Neodiprion lecontei: one gene and its partner. The protein of the gene in region 2 interacts with the protein of the main gene of each other region in a pairwise test. Links are inferred from orthologs where the notes say so. Each region holds a gene or a part of one and is shown on either strand. Other genes may lie near its edges. The genes, in order: aryl hydrocarbon receptor nuclear translocator homolog and protein trachealess.

Region 1 (8,960 bases), on a different chromosome or scaffold from region 2:
GTAACGCGTACGGCTGGCGCGCTGGCATAACGTCATATATACGACACGTAACTAACGTATTATTAAATCCAAATTGTTTCATCGCAATTTCTGATCACAATAGAACCTACCTAGCTGTCTGTAAATCAAGCTCCACGAATCGTAATATCACTAAATCTCAATCTCTAATTAAAAATCCACTTACTTTATTACTCTGCCTTTTTACGTGAATTGTATGTATTGAAATGTTTGCTTTTCATTTATATCCATGGATGCATATGGAAACGCTACATATGTAATAGCAAAAATATGTTATACATGCATAAATTTTTGTAAAGTATGCATATTGCACTTGCTTGTCAATACCAGCAAAATGTCGCGCTGCGACGACATCGTCGTGCAACAGCTGAAAAATGAAGCCAAAAAATGGCATTGTCGATATCGGTAACGGCTAACTAAATTACTTAGTCAGATCAAGTCAGATATCTCCGACATGTCGAAGATGGCACATTCCTGAAAAGGAGATAGCCGTAGGGAAGAATAAGAAGACATAGAACGTAGTGCATACTCCTTACACTAATGTTGTAGAGCTTGTCAATTCAGTTCAGTAGGTTCAGTGGACTCTTGACTAGTCGGATTAGTATACTCACACCACGGTCTCTACTGACCACGTTAAATATCATTCATTCTAACTATTATTATCCAAGCCTACGCATCACTGATGTGATAATACCGCAGTTAGCGCAATTCGACATATTTCGATGCCAAATACAAATACCCGAAAAAAGGTTGGTTTTTCGCAACAATAACGATAAAAAATGTATTCCTGCTGTCGAATTACTTTTTGTTGCAAAAATACATTCCCTAGTGTCACTCTCGCATAAGACAAAAGCGTATTTGGACATTTTTTTGATATTGCCCGTAAAATTGTGCTGGAAGATCATTCCAAAGTTTGCAAATTAATCAGAATGCTTGGATGGTGGGAAATGTGAAAAATGAAATTATAACATAATTTCGACCATGACAGCGGCGTTTCCACATCAGTGCCGCATAGATTTCGATATTAGTCAACATAAGTACCTTTCAAGGCCGAAGTACATAGAATTCCATAAGCCATAATCAGGTTGCAAAAGCCATAACAAGATGTTGCTACAGCTTCTGCAATCTGCTTACGGCTTCTGGAAAAGGATCCATAGGTATGGGTATGATCCACAACGGAAAGGCAAGAAAAAGTGAGCATGGAGATACTAATCGTGATATTTTCAGGCATTTCAATCGGTTCTGGTCCTCCATTTTGAAATCTCGAAACGCCATCTATAGGCAAGAACATGTATCATCAGTCTTAGGGCCGTATTTCGACACGTCTACGACTATCTTCTTGCTTAATTTCGTGAGTCTAGTCTATGCCGTGTCCGCCAGGAAAAAAGAAAATTACAAAATGGCGTAACCCCTCGTTGTAAACACCCAGTTTTGACGACGTACGAGAATAAGCGTCACCGTATTATAACGCACAGTCTGTTATTGTGTCAAAATGGTGTAAAACAAATAATACAACCTGAATGTTTACTATTCAGATGTCTGCTATCACCCATTCTATGCCAGGTAACGATAAACAGTTAATAATATTAACGCAACGTTAGTATACTGTACATACTACATACCTGCATACACGCCAGATCCAAAGTCAGTTTGTTGTTCATTCTCGATAAAACTCAATCGTTATTTTCCTCGTTGTTCCGTGAAGTGTTTTAACCAATAATCAGCCTCTCGCACCAGAGCGAATCTCCATTACAGTGATGAATAATTCCAAAATTTTTGTGCGGGTTAAACGTCATCCGTAGCTTTGAAAATTCTCTCTAATAATAACAACCATTCATCTTTAATCGGTTCATCTCTAACCTCATCACATTTTTCAGGGACTGACCCAAGCAAGATAATAGAAAAACGCAGAGCTGGCAGTATAGGGTGAGTACTAATAACAATCTTAAAAATCTATCTCGCATTAATCCTGCCCCCGTGTACAAGACATCGGTAGACTCGCGTGCGATCTGCGGTCCAACAATCTTGAAAAGTTCCGATATCAGCTGCGTTGATTAATTTCTTGGAAAAGTCAATGGCAATTGGTAAACCAATTATACTTTTGTCAGATTCAATCAACTCAAACGAGGAATTGTTAACAACATATCGCGTCCGATTTATCTGGTCTACTCGGATTCTAATAGACCGCAGTTTCTCGTATCTCGTTACCGACCGAGCGAATAGCACAGAAACCTCTGTTACCTTTTTATGCGATCTAATTCGCACAGCGTACCAAGAGATGAAGAAAAAAATTTTTGTGCACAAAAAATAAATTCATCAAACGTCGAATCGAGATCGGAAGCGGGGCCGCATATTCTCCGATATTGTTGTAATGATGTATAGTCCCGAGGTGTGAACCAGGCGGTAAAAAAACGAGGCAACGTCTTGCCGAGGCATTATTCACGGTACGTTGTTTTTTCTAAATCCCTATCCTTTTCGCTCCTCTGGACCAAACTGTCGTTCCAAGAAGAAGAAAAGGAAGAAAGATCGGCAGAAGTACTGGAGGAGGAAAGTAAGGAGACCCCGTTAACCGTGGTACATGTACAGCATGCAGGCAAGTGAGGAACGTAGAGAAGATCAGTTACGGTTAGACCGCACGTTGCCCTCCCCCCTTATTGTCCCCGGCGAGTTAACGTTTTCGGGAAAGCAGCTCGGACAAAAGGAGTTCGAGTCGTTTTATGACTCGCCGACAGGCTAGGTAGGCTTCTTAATTCTCAAACGGTACACGGAACTTGAGTTGTCCGCGAGAGGCGGGAGTCAAAATATGGCCGGTAACTCCCTCCTCTTCACTTACTCCCGACGTGCTTCATACTTGAGCGTTGAAGAATTTTTCCTAATCGTCAGGAAGATTTGCTTCTTCTGGGTAACGCGGCATAATCTCCCATTTTTTACGGTTATTTCGAAACCTCGGAATCCGTAAAGGCATTTTTTCCCTAATCTGCACATATGTGCTTGCTAGAAGACGTGTTTGGATTCCAAGTTGTAGGTGGATATATGTGAATAATGTTTATCGTCATTTTTATTACATTATATCGTCATATGTCGGCGACTCATCAGAGAAAACCGAGAACTGGGAATTTGAAAAATGGTCGGGCAAGTCAGAGAAAAGATGGGGAATTGTTGGGTTGGGTAGAAAATTTTGTGGCAGGTACGGAAGAAGAAAGAATAAACTTTCCAATTTTTTTTTAGTTAGAATCTAGTTTAGGTAGATGGTTACGAAGTTAAAAATTTTAGACAGGGACAAATCATAACTTCATCGAGGAAAGTTAGGAAAAGTCGTGACATTGGTGACTTATGAATTGATTATCACAGGTATTGGTTTTTTGAACACAAGTTTAATATTGCAACGGAAAATTATTGACAGTTATTCGCAACTAAAAATCTTAAAAATCTTTGAACTTGAGTCTTACGTTTTAATCTCGAAAGACAAAACTTAAAAAATTGGGTGAAATCGAAGAGCCAGCGTAACCCACGAACCAGCCAACGCAGTTCTTACGATGTTTTTCAATTCATTGCAAGTCGTCCAGGCGAGCGAGTATGATTTAATTCTCAAAATTCTGATCAATCAAGCTTGATGAAAACGTCAATTCATTGCTACTGCAGAGGTTTGATAATATTATACGTGGCTGAAGTCAGTAACGTTAACGTAACGAAACGTATAAGAAAAAAATCATTATCGTGCAATTTCCTAATGACTTTCAAGAGATGACTTTTCGAAATACATGACTACGTTTTATTTATCCTGGATCGATGAAATGTCAGACAATCATAAAGGTGCGAAGTAACGATTTTCCCTAAACATTCATCCTTACACCGCAACGTTACCGAATTCATCCTCGTCTTCTTATTTCTTAAGGGGTGAATGACTACCGAGTCATTTGTAAGTTGACTTAATGCTGAATATCGAATCAAGCTACTACAGTCGTTTTTTGATCGTAATATCAGTTGTAGCGACAATTTGTACCATCGATCAAGCTCATTGGAAATTTCAATAACATCGAGTATGCTCAACGGCAACGCCTCGTTGTCCGTGAGGTGTCTCTTTACATTGACACGATCACGCTCGCCTTATCGCGTCGGTCAAGTGAGTCCAAGAAATCGAATAAAAGCTTCGTTTTTCGCTTACACATAAGCATTATAAGATCCGAAGATGGACTCGTCGAAGGAACGGGGAACAGCCGAGGTCCTCCTCTCCTTAGACTCGGAGGAGGCAGTCAGTACAGGACGACACCCGCACACGGGATATAGACTGAGTAGTAACTGCACGCGGCGGTTTAATGGTGGGAGAAGTGATAGTCTTTACCGGAGCACCACCAGCGCACATAATGCTCCCGGTATGGTGGAAGAATCAGCACCAGTCAGTTGGATCGAGTTGTGGGTGGTGTGCAGTGCGGGTTACCACAACTTCTCCCGGTTAACCGTCGTTGGAACCGATATTCGAATCGCGGATCGGCACTGTCATTATCAGCGCGAACCCCGCGGATGCGGTGTGCAAGGTGCTGTTGTGTTTTGTGTGCTGTGTTACTCGTTCATCAATGAAGCTTGTGCCGCCCGGACCATCGTCGGATGATAATAATGTGATAACAGTCCTCGGGTTCAAGGCCAAAAAGCGAATCAGATCTACAGGAGGTGCGAGATAAGAATCGAGGGGAGAAAACAGCCGCTCCTGAAGACTTTGTCCGATATCCATCCATCCATTCTTACCCCCCACCACCAATAAAGATAGATTACCCTGGCATCGACGGAATGTACGGAGGCAGTGGATCCGCCGGGGGTGGCGCGGGCTATGCCGTCGGACTTCATCAGGGTTCTGGAAACGCTCCGGTTTCCGGTTCCTACGCCGGGGTTTCGGCCCCGATCGGCTACCAGCTGGGCCCCAATTCTGGAGCTCCAGTATCCGGTGGACACTCCGGGTCTACCCCCGGTTCTCAGCTGCTTTCGTACCCTCAGGGTAACGCCGCCTTGTCGCCGCACCATATACACCAGATGCAAGGTACACCGTCCGATGCCTCGCAGACTAAGAGGAGAAGGTAAACTTCACCGAAACATGTCCAATGAACGCTTATCATTCAGGGTGCCACGGATCGAAGTGGCGCCGGTAATTGCGAATATCATGATTTAATCGGTTTATGGAATGGCATGTGGAAAGTATAGGAAAAGCTGTTTAAAGAAGAACCTCGTGAAAGAGAAACATATCGTACTATAGAAAACACTCGTGTTAAAATTTATGAAAATTGCCAGCTGTGGACTACTATAAATATATATATATATTTTTTTTTTTTTTGTGAATTTGGAAATTCAATACCAGATAGTATTGGATTGACACCCAACTATATACTTTGAAAAAGTCCACTCTGCGTTTTTCTTACAGAACGCAAGATTGCCAATCTACTTGAAAATCTGGAATGGTGAAAAATTTTCGTTTTACCTGGAAATGTTGACATTTGAAACTTAAATTTTCATATCGTTTCATATATTACGGTTTTAGCGAATATTTTTATATATCCGTGATTTAGTTCCGAATTAAAATCTTGGGTATACGAGTGCAGTACAAAGACTTTGAATGAAATGTAATTTGTAGCGATAGATTACATTTTTTGTTCGGTACTTTAAATCTCATCGTGTCGAAGAATGTCTGATTTAAACGTAGGTGAACAGAGTTGCCTCCTCATTCTGCCCTATTTCCTTCTTCTTTACATGGTAAAAGGTATTAATTTTGACCACGGATATTTATTGTTTACACTCTTACCGTTAAAAAAGTCAAAATTTTCGCCGCCAAATCACTCATTTAACGATATAAGGCGGCATCGTCAAGAAGACGCGAATTCTATGGGCGCCACAGCAGAGAGGAATATTATTGAAATGAATACATTTGCAAACATCAAAAACAGCTGAACGACGCTTGTCAATTTAGTTGCTCATCCTAAAAATGTCATTAACTATTTCAATTTTCATGATGATTGTGCACAAATCACAATAAAGCCTCACTTTTTAGCTTCAAAATGAAATGTCTGCTTTGTTGTTCCGGTTTGATAATGTTTGTCAATAAAATTCAAAACCTTCATAAAACACACGATGTGTGATCTGTTTCTTTTCTTTTTTTTTTTAGCGAGATCTACTTTTCAGAATTATGTTCATTATGTTCAACATATATCTACCGAGATTAGTTCTCACATCAGATCCTGTGTTGAAATAATCAGAATTTCCATATTTTTTCTTCCCATTATTTCGTCGGTGACTTGACTTTTATACTTGAAGATATGTAATCGTCAGTTTTAAAATACTTGAACCACCACCCGAAGTGCAGATGCAGCTGCTCTTTTTCTCATTTTTCTAGGGAATTGAAACTGGGTATTCGGGGTATTAGACAAAAATCAGAGAAAATAAAAACTATAAGATTGTTAAAAACTTCGACAAATCATTCGGGGCATTCGATCATATACTGAAAGGAAAATTTGTACAGACAATTCTAAGACAGCATATAACATATCCCGTGGCTACTTTAAAACTCGCAATAAATGCATTTAATCGTAAAATATCGCGAAATTCAATGTATGCACCTATGTATTTCCGCATGGTAAAAATCGCGGTAAAACAAGCGCTTTTATATCTTACTTTTAAGGATCAAGCACTACTGTCCGAAAATTCAGTATCAAATTATCAGAAAAGATGTTATTAAAACTGAATTTCACAAAGCGATATGTGTTTTCTCTTCAACTCGTTACAGATTTCTATTAGAGGAGCACGTCTTATTGTAGCATATCGATCAATTGCAATTCGTTAATCTCTTCGAAATGAAAAAAATCTATTAACAATTGCGTCACCAGACCATTTTTATTCTGTGATTCGCTCTACTGAAATAGCCAAGCATAGGTTTACTGTTAATAGATTATATTTCTTCCCTTTCCGTTCTTAAGTTATTTTTTTTTTTTTTTAATTTCCTGCAGTTTAATTCACATCATTCTTCATCAAATATTCGCTGAAACGTTTTCTGGAAAACCAGGGAAAACGAAGAATTTTTTAATGGAAAAAAAATTCGAAATCCCTAATCAAAACAAGAAAAACTGGAAAAACACGTTCTCTTCATTCTGTAAAAATCACGCGCATAAAAAAGAAAAGAAAAGCATAAAAATACGGGCAGTGTTGGTACACACAAGGTTTACAGGATTGTGCAATGCAACTTCCTCGCGGTATAATATCACATTTAAACATCGTAATCTTTCACTTTTCTATATCACGCCGATTATATACGTATAGTAATTATTTTTCTTCTTCTGTTTTTTGTTTTAAATCAATTTCTACTTATTATTATTTACTTTATTATTCTCGTTCTTTTTTCCATTCCATAATTCTTCTTTTTCTCCTCGTGTCGGTTTCGAGACGGTGAAATCGCTTCGTGCATTATTATACAATGTGTATACACAGGCATTTGTATGCGTATATCTAATCGGTATTTAGGCTATTATACCCGCAGTTGCACATGCATACCGTAACGCCTGTTTTACACTAGTATTACACGTATGGCCGGTTGCTCCGTCGCGATGAACAACGCTCGTAACATTAGAAACTGGCATTTTTATGGTCTCAGCGGATATAGTAAAAGTACCGCCGCATCTTCACCTATCAAAGGAAACGATCTCGTATCATTTTTTTGAGTGCACTAATTCTACGATTATTATTTTCATATATATGTATATATATATATATATATATATATATATATATATATATATATATGATTTCTAGGTAGTTGCAGTCGGGCAAGTTCATTCATAATACGTAACGATTTTACATTTAAATGAAAGCCTGAATTTTCCTGAAAATGTTATAAAAAATATCGAAACGTATAATGAGAATACAAAGAGAAATGTTCGGTTATAAATCGCGATCTTGTGTTACGTCGCGTATCAGGTAGTCGGTTCCAGTATATATAACAACTCGCGACTCGTGTTTAATATACCAAATATACGTATAATTGTTGCTGCACGATCAGCTGAAATTTTGAGTAACAACGAGTGTAAACACACTGCCATATACGACCTCTTGCAGTTACACCTTGACCATTTCAGTCAAAATGACGACTTACAGCTCTGATGAAATTAACTCTTCATTCGTTTTGTGTTAATTTTTAACAATATTTTTTTTTCACTCAAATTAAGGAGATGTTTGAAATACCGCGGACAATTATTGCTGTACAAAAAAAAAAAAAAAAGATTTTATAATTCAATTTGATAACTTTGATGAAAAAAAATTATTTTTTATTACGAAAGGATCATGAAAAAATCAATGGCGAGCGGTAAAATTATAGCGCGGTAATTTGAAATATAATTCCTGTACCTAAATGTTAACATATAGTTGTTATTGCACGGTACATATGTTACAAACCGATCCGATGTACACGCAAACTTGGTTGATCACGTCACGTAATAGAGATTTGTGGTCATTGGCTGGTTAATTCCCACGGTGTACATACATTATACTCATATATGCATTCGTATTTACGGATATAATAGAAACATGAAACATATATGTATAATATTTGTAGCACACATTGTACCAGCTTATATCTTTCTATATTTTCTAACAAAATATGAGAGACTTACCGTGGCTTCAAACTACTGAAATAAGTTTTTGTGTTCGGGTATAAATGAGTGGAAGCACGATGTTCCGCGTAAAAGAAAGACCGGTGGTAGGACTCGTTTGGGGGTTTCATAACATTGCGTTGTTAACAGAGCGTTTCAAAACATTGCGTTTCACAAGATTCTGCAGTTACACCCGCTCAAGAAGTTTCACCTCAACATCCAGCCATAATTGTCCCGATAATTGATCTAAAATATGTACACGCGAAAAATTCAGTTGCTAAATTTCTGTATACTGTATAGTATTGTTAAAAACTGAATAAT
Region 2 (8,959 bases):
CTGGATAATTCCGTCGGTCAGCTACGACGGAAGCCGTCGCGAAGAAGACGAGCGTCTCGATGCAAGCCCAGTCGAAATAAGCGGCGGTGGGCCTTACGAGGAGCCGTTCGTCCCGGGGCCCGCGGGCGTATAAGTTGTATAATACGGACGCGGCCGAGGTTTCGGCAGGCTATAATCAATTCTGATTGCGGTCGAGGATCGCCGTGTGCGATACGCCGCGCGATAGCGGGTGAAAAAGAGGAAAAAATAAATAAATAAATAAAAAAAACAGGCCCATCCCTGCAACTACCGTCCGTTCCGCCGCAACCCAGCGACAGTCGAGGGTTGGGGGATGATACTTTGCGCTCAGGGTTCGCCAACGCGTTCCCATTCGTCGAGCCTGCCGACGCGACGGCACCGAGGCTTGCGTATCCCGTAAAAACGGAGGTAGTTATTTATCGGAAGGACCCCGCGCCACCCGGCAGATTCACCTCGACGCAGCTCTCGTCCTGCAGGAAGAATGCGTCGACTCTCGGCCCGTCGGGTGGCTCCGACGACAGCCTTGATCCGCCGCACTTGTTTCTTATGATCTTATTATATCGGTACGTCCGGTCCCATTTAGCCCCGGGAGCCATCATTCAATAACGTTGATCTGCCCGGATCCCGGTCATACCGCCGGATCCCCGACAAAGTCTGTCACTGTCAACGAGACGAGAAAACGGCGCGGAACGCCGAAGACTCTCCGAACGGCAACGGCGAATACCGCTCATGCTGCACCGGACGATGCAACCACCTGAGTTATCTGCGCCGTGTGCGCTGTCGCACTTTTTCCTTCACCGACGTCGGAGATCGGCGAAATCTCGTCGAAGAACCCCCGACGGTTAAAAACCGTCCAACTGCGTTCGTGTGGCCCGATTTTTTCACCGTTCGCTTACTTCCATTATTAATAATAATAACAATGATAATAATACCGAACGCGTGCGATGTTTTTTCGGGATTGTAAATTCCATCAAACAGGTAGATAGTTACAACATATATACATACATATATATATATATATATTAGAAAAATTCCAAATGATCTCAGCAACCTTGGAGTAAATTTGATCCCAATATACGGTACTGATTGTAAAAATCGTTTCAGTTCAAGGCAATATTTAGACGCCCGTTTTATATCCATGCCTATGATATTTCTTTTAGCGAGAAAAGGTGAATAAATACCAACGGAATACATGCATATACAGTTGTTTAGCAACGTGGACTTGGGCAAAAAAAGCCAGCTGACTTGAATAGAAACAGTTTTTATTGAAATGCCGACTGCAATTGAACACCGTCTGTAATAATATCGCATTATACCTGAGAACTATTTACCCGCAGTGATTTCTTACATACTTTAGATACGGTCGGATCGACCGCGTGTATAGCTCCAAAGTCTGTAATAAGCGACTTGATATAAAGTCTGGCGGCTCAGTAAAGCGCAACGAGAAAACATCGGCGACTGGCACAAGTGGAACTCGTGAAATGTAATATCATCCGGAGCGAAGCAGTTCGGTAAAAGAGTCCTCGCTTCGTGCCGTACGGAGGCGTGGGCAGATGAGATTACGACCCCCGACCTTTCGGGTCAATTTTACCGCTGTCAGACTCCATTGAACGATACTTTGACTCGGTTTATTTTCGGACCCAAGTTTAACGAGATAAAGAATTATTCTTTACGGTATCGATTACTTGCTTGTACCTCATCGTCGCGAAGGTGATCACCAATTTGTAACCGTGCGAATCACGGTTATCACCTTGCAACATATGTACAATATGGATATTACTTGCAAGGAACATAAATTACAGTTTCAGCACTGGAAATTTCTAAATTTGAGTCACGGACCTCGTGTCTCCGTCAATGATTGACGTCCTTTTCAACGTTGCTCAACGGGCAATATTTCAAATATTTGAACAGTGGTATTTTTATTCTCATAGCACGGTTATCAAAAATTAATCGATCCGCGAGAAACTCATCGCGACTGTATGCAGTTTTTATAGATCACTCAAAAAGTAGAACGAGTAGGTACTCGTGATCTGATCGGCTCTGTTGAACACAGTAAATAATCTATGGTATCGAATTTTCTGGCATAAAGCACGCATTTTCTTTAGTTGGAGAAAGTTGGAGGTTTCATTTCAGGGATTACCCTCTTTTTACCACTTTTACCAGGACAAGAATTCATATTTTGCAATGCCTTCTACATACATTCAGAATAAAATCTACGGATAATTCCAGGAGTATGTTTTCAACATTGTAATCAGTACTACGCGGAAAAATGATTACTTGTAACAGTACTTGCGCTGTCGTTGGACTGTCAAAAAAATGTCGATTCACGACAGTGGATTATAACTAGTTTTCCATATTGAAGCAACTCTTAAAAGTTATACTAAATTTTTTCCTGAGCCGCTCCATCTTTTCCTCGTTGAAAATAATCGCATTTCAATTGATTTTCGCGCGTTCCGGTGGCGCAATGCCTAATATCGAGAACGAATTCGAAAACAAGTTACCGTGGCCCGTGCGAAGGGCAAAAACAGGCCCCCCTATCAGATCGGTTGAATCGTGGGCGGCCAGAAGCAGCTTGTCTATGAATTGGTAGTGCTCGCGGCAGGTTCGTAAACTACGCAGGATCGCGTGTCAGCCGGGTGCTCGAGGAGCGCATCGGACCCAGCGGGGTCCGGAAAACGGATATTGGTCTGGACTACGTATGGAGCCGTCGGTTCCGCCGGGATTAGTATAGTGAGACTCTCCGGGATGACGAGGGCAGTAACGAGAAAACCCGGGAGAGGAAGAGAGAGAGAGAGAGAGAGAGACAGAGCTGAGAGAGAGATAGAGAGAGTGAGGCACTCGGTCGGTGACGAGGGTGTTTAGACCACGGGCTGCAACAAGTGGCAGTCAGCGTCGCACTCGCGCGGCTCACACGCTAACGCATTCACGCCTTATTACACCCATACGCATTCCGCCCGACGACGTGGGTGCAGCCGTAGAAGATGCGTCCCTGGAGCGATCAGACCCAGGACCCCCGGTCGGGCGTTCCGCAAACGGGACCCCAAGTAATTCAGGGGACGGATGAACGCCGCGCGACAGACTCGCCGGCGCTGGACGTAATTGATAGCGAAATGCTAATGATCCGTGCGAGTCGAGAATGATAATGCGTTTCTTGCCGGGATGCGGCGGAAGCGGCTACCTGGAACTCCGCTACTTGCCATTTATTATATTCATTAAACGGCTCCTGCCCGGTTTGTCATCTCGCGTAGGCCGCCTCCTCAACAACACTTTCCCCTCGTCGTCTACCTGCGGCGAAAACACACGTGCCCGAAACGCCCGCGTCGTTCTAACGCAACCGATTGACCACTTAATCGTCCCTCAACTTGTACCACCTCGGAGACACTGTACCTAACACTTTGCTTCAGTTTCGCTCTGGATGACTCGCGGCGTGAAAGTGGTGACAAGAAGTGACTTCGGGTCACGAGCACCAGAGATTCGACCAAACTCATTGCAGAGCGCATCGCCTATTATATGTGGAGAAGAACCGAAAGGTAACTGCAATTCTTTGTATTATTTTGTCTGCATGCCCGTCGGAGAGCTGTGAATAAGTTTGCCTATTATTCCTGTCAGCGTCGCAAGAACCTAGATCAAATCTGTTGACAAGAACTGAGGTCGACGCCTGAAACCGGAGCGTGTGTCACGGTCAACTAGAAAATAAGTGGAAGTCATTTTTTGTTGTATTTTATTTTATCACGTTCCGTCAGCGAAATTGGGGCAAAAATGGAATCGTGGATGAGAAGAAACGCTTTCGCAACTCCCGTCACGGACACTCTGAGGCAACAACCCTGTGCCACGGCCGTTCGGACCATCGTTTGACCTCAAACTTTTCGTAGTACATCGGAAACGCTACACACCGAACGGCACGACAGTAACAAAAAATGCGTTCAACTCAAAGTAGGATGGCGATTGTCACCTGGAGCATTACATCAGAGAACATGTGTTACACGCCATATATACCGGGATGGGAGTAGGTAATAGATTTTAACGACGCGATACACGCGGTTCTTGCATCTGTCGCGGTCTTGGATCGGCCATGTGAGTCACGTTAACCGTGTTAGTAAAAGAGTTTGCATCGCAGTACGAAGAACAATTAGAAGTGCTCTGCTAGTAAATTCCGTAAGTCTCTGTATCTCTGGTATCGAATATTCGCCGTCGGGTAGGAAAGAATCGGTGAATGGGAAGTTGAAAATCGAGGCCTACCTGTAGTAGGGAAACGCCTGGGGTACGTGAAGGTCCATCGGCATCGCGGGGTGGGCACCCCCGTGATGAGCACCGGCCGGATTGTAGTCACCGGCGGCGGATAGCGGCGGCTGCATCATGCCTGCGGCCGCCGCAGCGGCGTGATGATGATGCCCGGCGAGCATGGCCCCCCATGGGAAACCAGCCGCCCCCGGCATCGGGGGATGTTCCAGATCGAGGCCGCGAGGACCGGCGGTAGCCGGGCCGTTACCGCCGCCGCCGCCGCGGTGCATCAGCCACCCCTCCACAACTGACGAATCTTATCTCTCACTGTGGCGTTTCACCCGCGACCGCACTATAAAATATACTATACGGGGTAGGGGGTTGGTATCACGTAATATACCGATCACTCTGGCACGCCTTACGAACCACTGCTCGTTACCCCCCAAGCTCCACTGCGCACTTTATCGGCCGACCCCGGTTCACTCTTGTCACCACATAGCTTGGTCGCGACCTCTTCGGACCTCCGGGTTTCGCGCCGGGGTTGCGGTCGCCTCGGAAAACGCGCGGACTAACGTAAAGCGAGCGCGGCACTTGACGCGGCCGGGCGAGGATCGAGACGCGAGAGGACAGGTGCTCGCGCGATTACGGAGCCGGACGGACGACCCGGAGAGTGGCGCAGCCTTCGGCTCGGCCATGAATGACGCGGCGTGGACCTCGCGCCGCCGCGGAGGCGGGGCCTCCGAGCTTCGCGGCCACGTGACGTCCCCACGAGCCTGGCGCCCCGCCCCCGCCCCCGCCCCGCGACGCCTCGCCGCGGCGACACCCGCGGGCCCCGGCGTCGCGACGTCCGACGACCGAGGGGCGGCCGCGTTCCCCGCGACTTCGAACACTTGTTGAGCCCGGCGGCCGTTGTGTGCGATTTTGTCGCGTCAACGCGCTGCTGATGGGCTTCCGGTTCACCATCGCGGAGGCTGCGTGCTCGATCGGCGACGACATTGTGTTCTCGTGAAAAGAGAATCGCCTTTGATCGTTTCGAATCGATTTCTTCGACATTCGCCGTGTGTGTCGCGAGGCTGTTCAATGTACTCGTATGTCTAATGGATACACGCTGTTGGGAACAACGCGCAACGCGCTATTGAGAGCAGGGTCACGTCGAATCGATTCACCGTCGGCGTACCGGACAGTATGGACCAAGGTGTACGATGTGTATAATACCGATGGGTAATTGAAGCGCGGAACGCGTGCCGAAGAGAGGGAAATGAAAAGAAGAAAAAAGAAAAGAAAAGTTGCGCGGCTGAGATTTTATTCGGAATAATACTTCACCGGGAATTACGAATTGGAGAGATGTGACCCCCCCGCGCATCGCGCGTCTTCGGGTCGTTTCAACGAGTATAATCCCTAATTAAAAAATTTGCTAAACGCGAACAGAAAATGTTTCGAGACGCTCCGGCGTCGTTAAATCAGCCCTCCTACCCTCTCCGCCGGTAGGTACAATAAAAAATTTAATCAAAATGCCCTCTTGGTAATTTACAGCCTCCTACTGGCAACCCTTGCCGAGAGGGAAAAGCTCGGCAAGAAATACCCCGCTCGACGGACTCGAAGTAAGCTGCCATCAGGGTGGAAGGGGGCAACCCCGCAGGAGTCGTTGAGCCCGCGACGCGGCCCATTTGCCACACCGATCCGTCACCGGGGGGTCGTCCGAATAAAAATAATTCCCGGCGTCTTCACTCATTTGCGAATGTTAAAACCCCGCCGTCCTCCGCGAGGCTGACGCCGACTTCGTCCTGGTTAGTCGTAAATTACAAATTAGACCGTTAAACTTTGCCCATTAGCGCGTGCAAGCTTCGGGACTGCAGTATCTCTCGGGTAGCATCTTAACGCTCCGCATCGAACCAGGCTTGCACTTCCGGTTAAATCGCTGCCTGCACTCCCGAACAAACGGTAACGGTTACGAGTTTCGACATGACTAGACCAGCACGTGCGAATCTTCTTTGCAATTAATTCGACAAGATACGCACTGCAGCGATTATTATTAAATCTGACAAACTGGCGCATCTTCACTGAATGAGGTGCTCGAGATGCGATCCTTTTATATCAAGGAGGTAGTTTCCCGGCGCAGATGTCCTAACTATAATATACGGCCCATCTGACCCAGTGAAATGTTTTAGATTTTCGAACAGCCCGTGGTGAGGACGTGGTCGTAAAATGATGACCGAGCGGATCGTACAGCTGTAATAACGGCACTGCATCCGAGCCTTCGGGGTGTCGTTGAAAATAATAACGTCCTGCAGGCCGGTGTTGGGCGAGGTTATGGTAAGGGGTGGCTAAGTGCACAGATTAGACGGATAGAACGTGATTCTTCGCGGAATCGCTCGGCGTTGAGCGTGTCCGCGTTTGTCCACGTTCGTCGTAAGCGAGGATGTTTCAATCGGCCGGGCACGAAGCGTAGTCCGACGCTGTTTGGTCACCGGTCCTGAATACCAACCAAGGGACGCCCGGCGTCGGCGTCGAATATCTGCATGTATAGTCGGGGCGGGGGTGTCCGGGCCTCGTGAGTTGGCACGGCTTGGCGTCGCGAGACGAGAGGAGAAGAGAGGCGAGGGGGTGAGAGGTGGCGAGGAGAGGGGTGAGGCGGGGAGGAACGCTATGAGGGGATTACGTGAAGAGGATGGTAAACTTTTGTAATTTACAAGGAGAACAGCGCCGCAATATTAACAAGCCTCAGCTCGCTGCCGGGCCTCTCAGCGATCCTCGGGAAACCTTTACTCTTCCCCCAAGATTTGAGAGAAACCCTCTGCGTATCACCGATATACATTCTGCTAACCGAAACCCGATTTTGCGTATGCAACATGTCTGCACGTGTTCCTGCGTCGTTCCATCGGTGCGCGAAGCGTTTTTTCGAGCTTTCAAATTTCGTTCTTTCGGTTATCATTCTCTGATTTGAATTTTTTTCGAACCTAAAAACGTGCGCTTTTATTCCTGTAATCCGATTCATTTGTATATTTCAAGGGTTGTTGGAACAGTACCTGCAATATCGAACACTAACAATAAGTACCTGTGCTCACTTGGCATTGTCGGCGCGTGACCAATATCGTATATCATCGCGTGCGTGCAAAGGTGACAGGCAAATAACGCTGCTCCACAGACATTAGAAAAACCGCCCTCTGTTTACGTCGAGCAGTTGGTTCGTCATGCCGAGGATTTCTATGAAGAATATACTTCAGCCGTCTCAAATTTTGGCATTTATTTTTGGCTACTGTCCATTTTGGAAATCAGGTGCGCACTTGTAAAACTTAATAGATTATCAACTCGCATAGGGAGGGAATAATAATCATTTTCTATTGTCTAGCCGGCGAGAATGTTTATCACCGAAGCGTTCTGGGTACGATACTGCAAGTAGTCAATATCCTTTTAACCCTCACCACCCTATCGTACATCGTGGGATTTTATCTTCCCGAAGCGTTTGGCTCACGACACGAATGTTCGTCCCTTAAAAACTGCAGCCAATTGATAATCCACGCTAGTCACTTGGCGCTTCTGTTGTGGTTGACTGTGGACCGATTAATTTTTGCCTCGGCAACGTTACGGTGTCTCAATCTGACGCATGAGCTCAACGAAGAACTTGGCTGCTTGTCTCCCCCGAAACAGCGTCCAATTTCGTTTCAACTAACGATCGTATGGACCGTCGCGTATCTGATCGGATTGCCCTTTCCCGTGAACAATGATTTCATGGAAATTGCATGGTACTGCTCAAAATTCTTAACCATGTACTGTGAGACCTTAGCTTTGGAATTCGTCACTGTACCCTCCGTGGCTCTAAACACGATCAACGGATTGCTAGAGACTTGGCAGAGGACTGGAAACTGCAATGTAAACGACTTGACGCGGTTGCAGTCCCTTTACTTGAAGGCAGCGTACGTGTCAGAAGTTGTTAATGATTCCTTCGGATTTTGTTGGCTGGTGTCACTTCTCGCAGCAAGTATTCAAATCGTTCTACCGTTCAAGACACTCTTTAAAGTACTCGATGATTTAATCGTTATTGACCATCGTATTCCTTCTACTGCTGATTATGTGCACTATGCGTATCTGTTCTTGGTACTGGCAACGAGTGTGCTACGCTACTTCCAAATTTATTACACCCTGGATCAACCATCCTCAAAGGTGATTCACTTAATTTTAAATGAAATCAGGCTAGGCCAATCTGTGACATCAACTTTTCACGTGTATACAGCATCCTATGAATTCTCATTGCAGAGAATCAAAACCGTCAGCATTCTGCGTGAACTGATGAATAAACATAGCGAGAACGAATTATCGACGAAGGTAAGCAGTACAGCTGTCAGAAAATAAGTGGATTGTGGATTTTTTCATCATGACTTGTACCAAAATTCACAGATGAATGACTTCATTTTCCAAGTTACCTTGAGAAGTATGGAATTTAGCTCTGGAGGATTTTTCGGAATAAATTTACAACGTTTTGCCGAGGTATAAGATACGCTGTTTCCACTATACGCGTCCTACCTACGTCTGCAAATTTTCTTTCATATTTTCAGGTAGTAGGCATGTGGTTAACACTGCTCGTAATTATGATTCAATTAACGGAGGCGTGAGAGTGAGAGTGATTGGATCAGGAATTGAAGCTCCCAGTTCAGAGTTGCCTCGCCTAACAACGAGTTGACATTCTCTCGATTATAGCACTCATTGCTTACAAGCATGTAGC

What was found.
Region 1: the proteins of protein trachealess (region 2) and aryl hydrocarbon receptor nuclear translocator homolog interact in a two-hybrid assay, tested with the Drosophila melanogaster proteins (3 studies listed by BioGRID). The link is inferred for Neodiprion lecontei from reciprocal best matches to the Drosophila melanogaster genes trh and tgo.

What each region holds. Positions count from the first base shown.
Region 1 is NC_060262.1:22,117,863-22,126,822, reverse strand, and holds the start of aryl hydrocarbon receptor nuclear translocator homolog, read left to right. Parts: upstream 1-4,426; 5' UTR 4,427-4,803; coding exon 4,804-5,087; intron 5,088-8,960. UniProt on the Drosophila melanogaster protein: Heterodimers of tgo/trh are involved in the control of breathless expression. Plays a role in the cellular or tissue response to oxygen deprivation.
Region 2 is NC_060263.1:30,860,002-30,868,960, forward strand, and holds the start of protein trachealess, read right to left. Parts: upstream 4,903-8,959; 5' UTR 4,530-4,902; coding exon 4,258-4,529; intron 1-4,257. Other genes in the region: uncharacterized protein LOC124294103, read left to right, coding at 7,431-7,515, 7,589-8,400, 8,494-8,562, 8,635-8,724, 8,793-8,849. UniProt on the Drosophila melanogaster protein: Transcription factor, master regulator of tracheal cell fates in the embryo, necessary for the development of the salivary gland duct, Malpighian tubules and the posterior spiracles.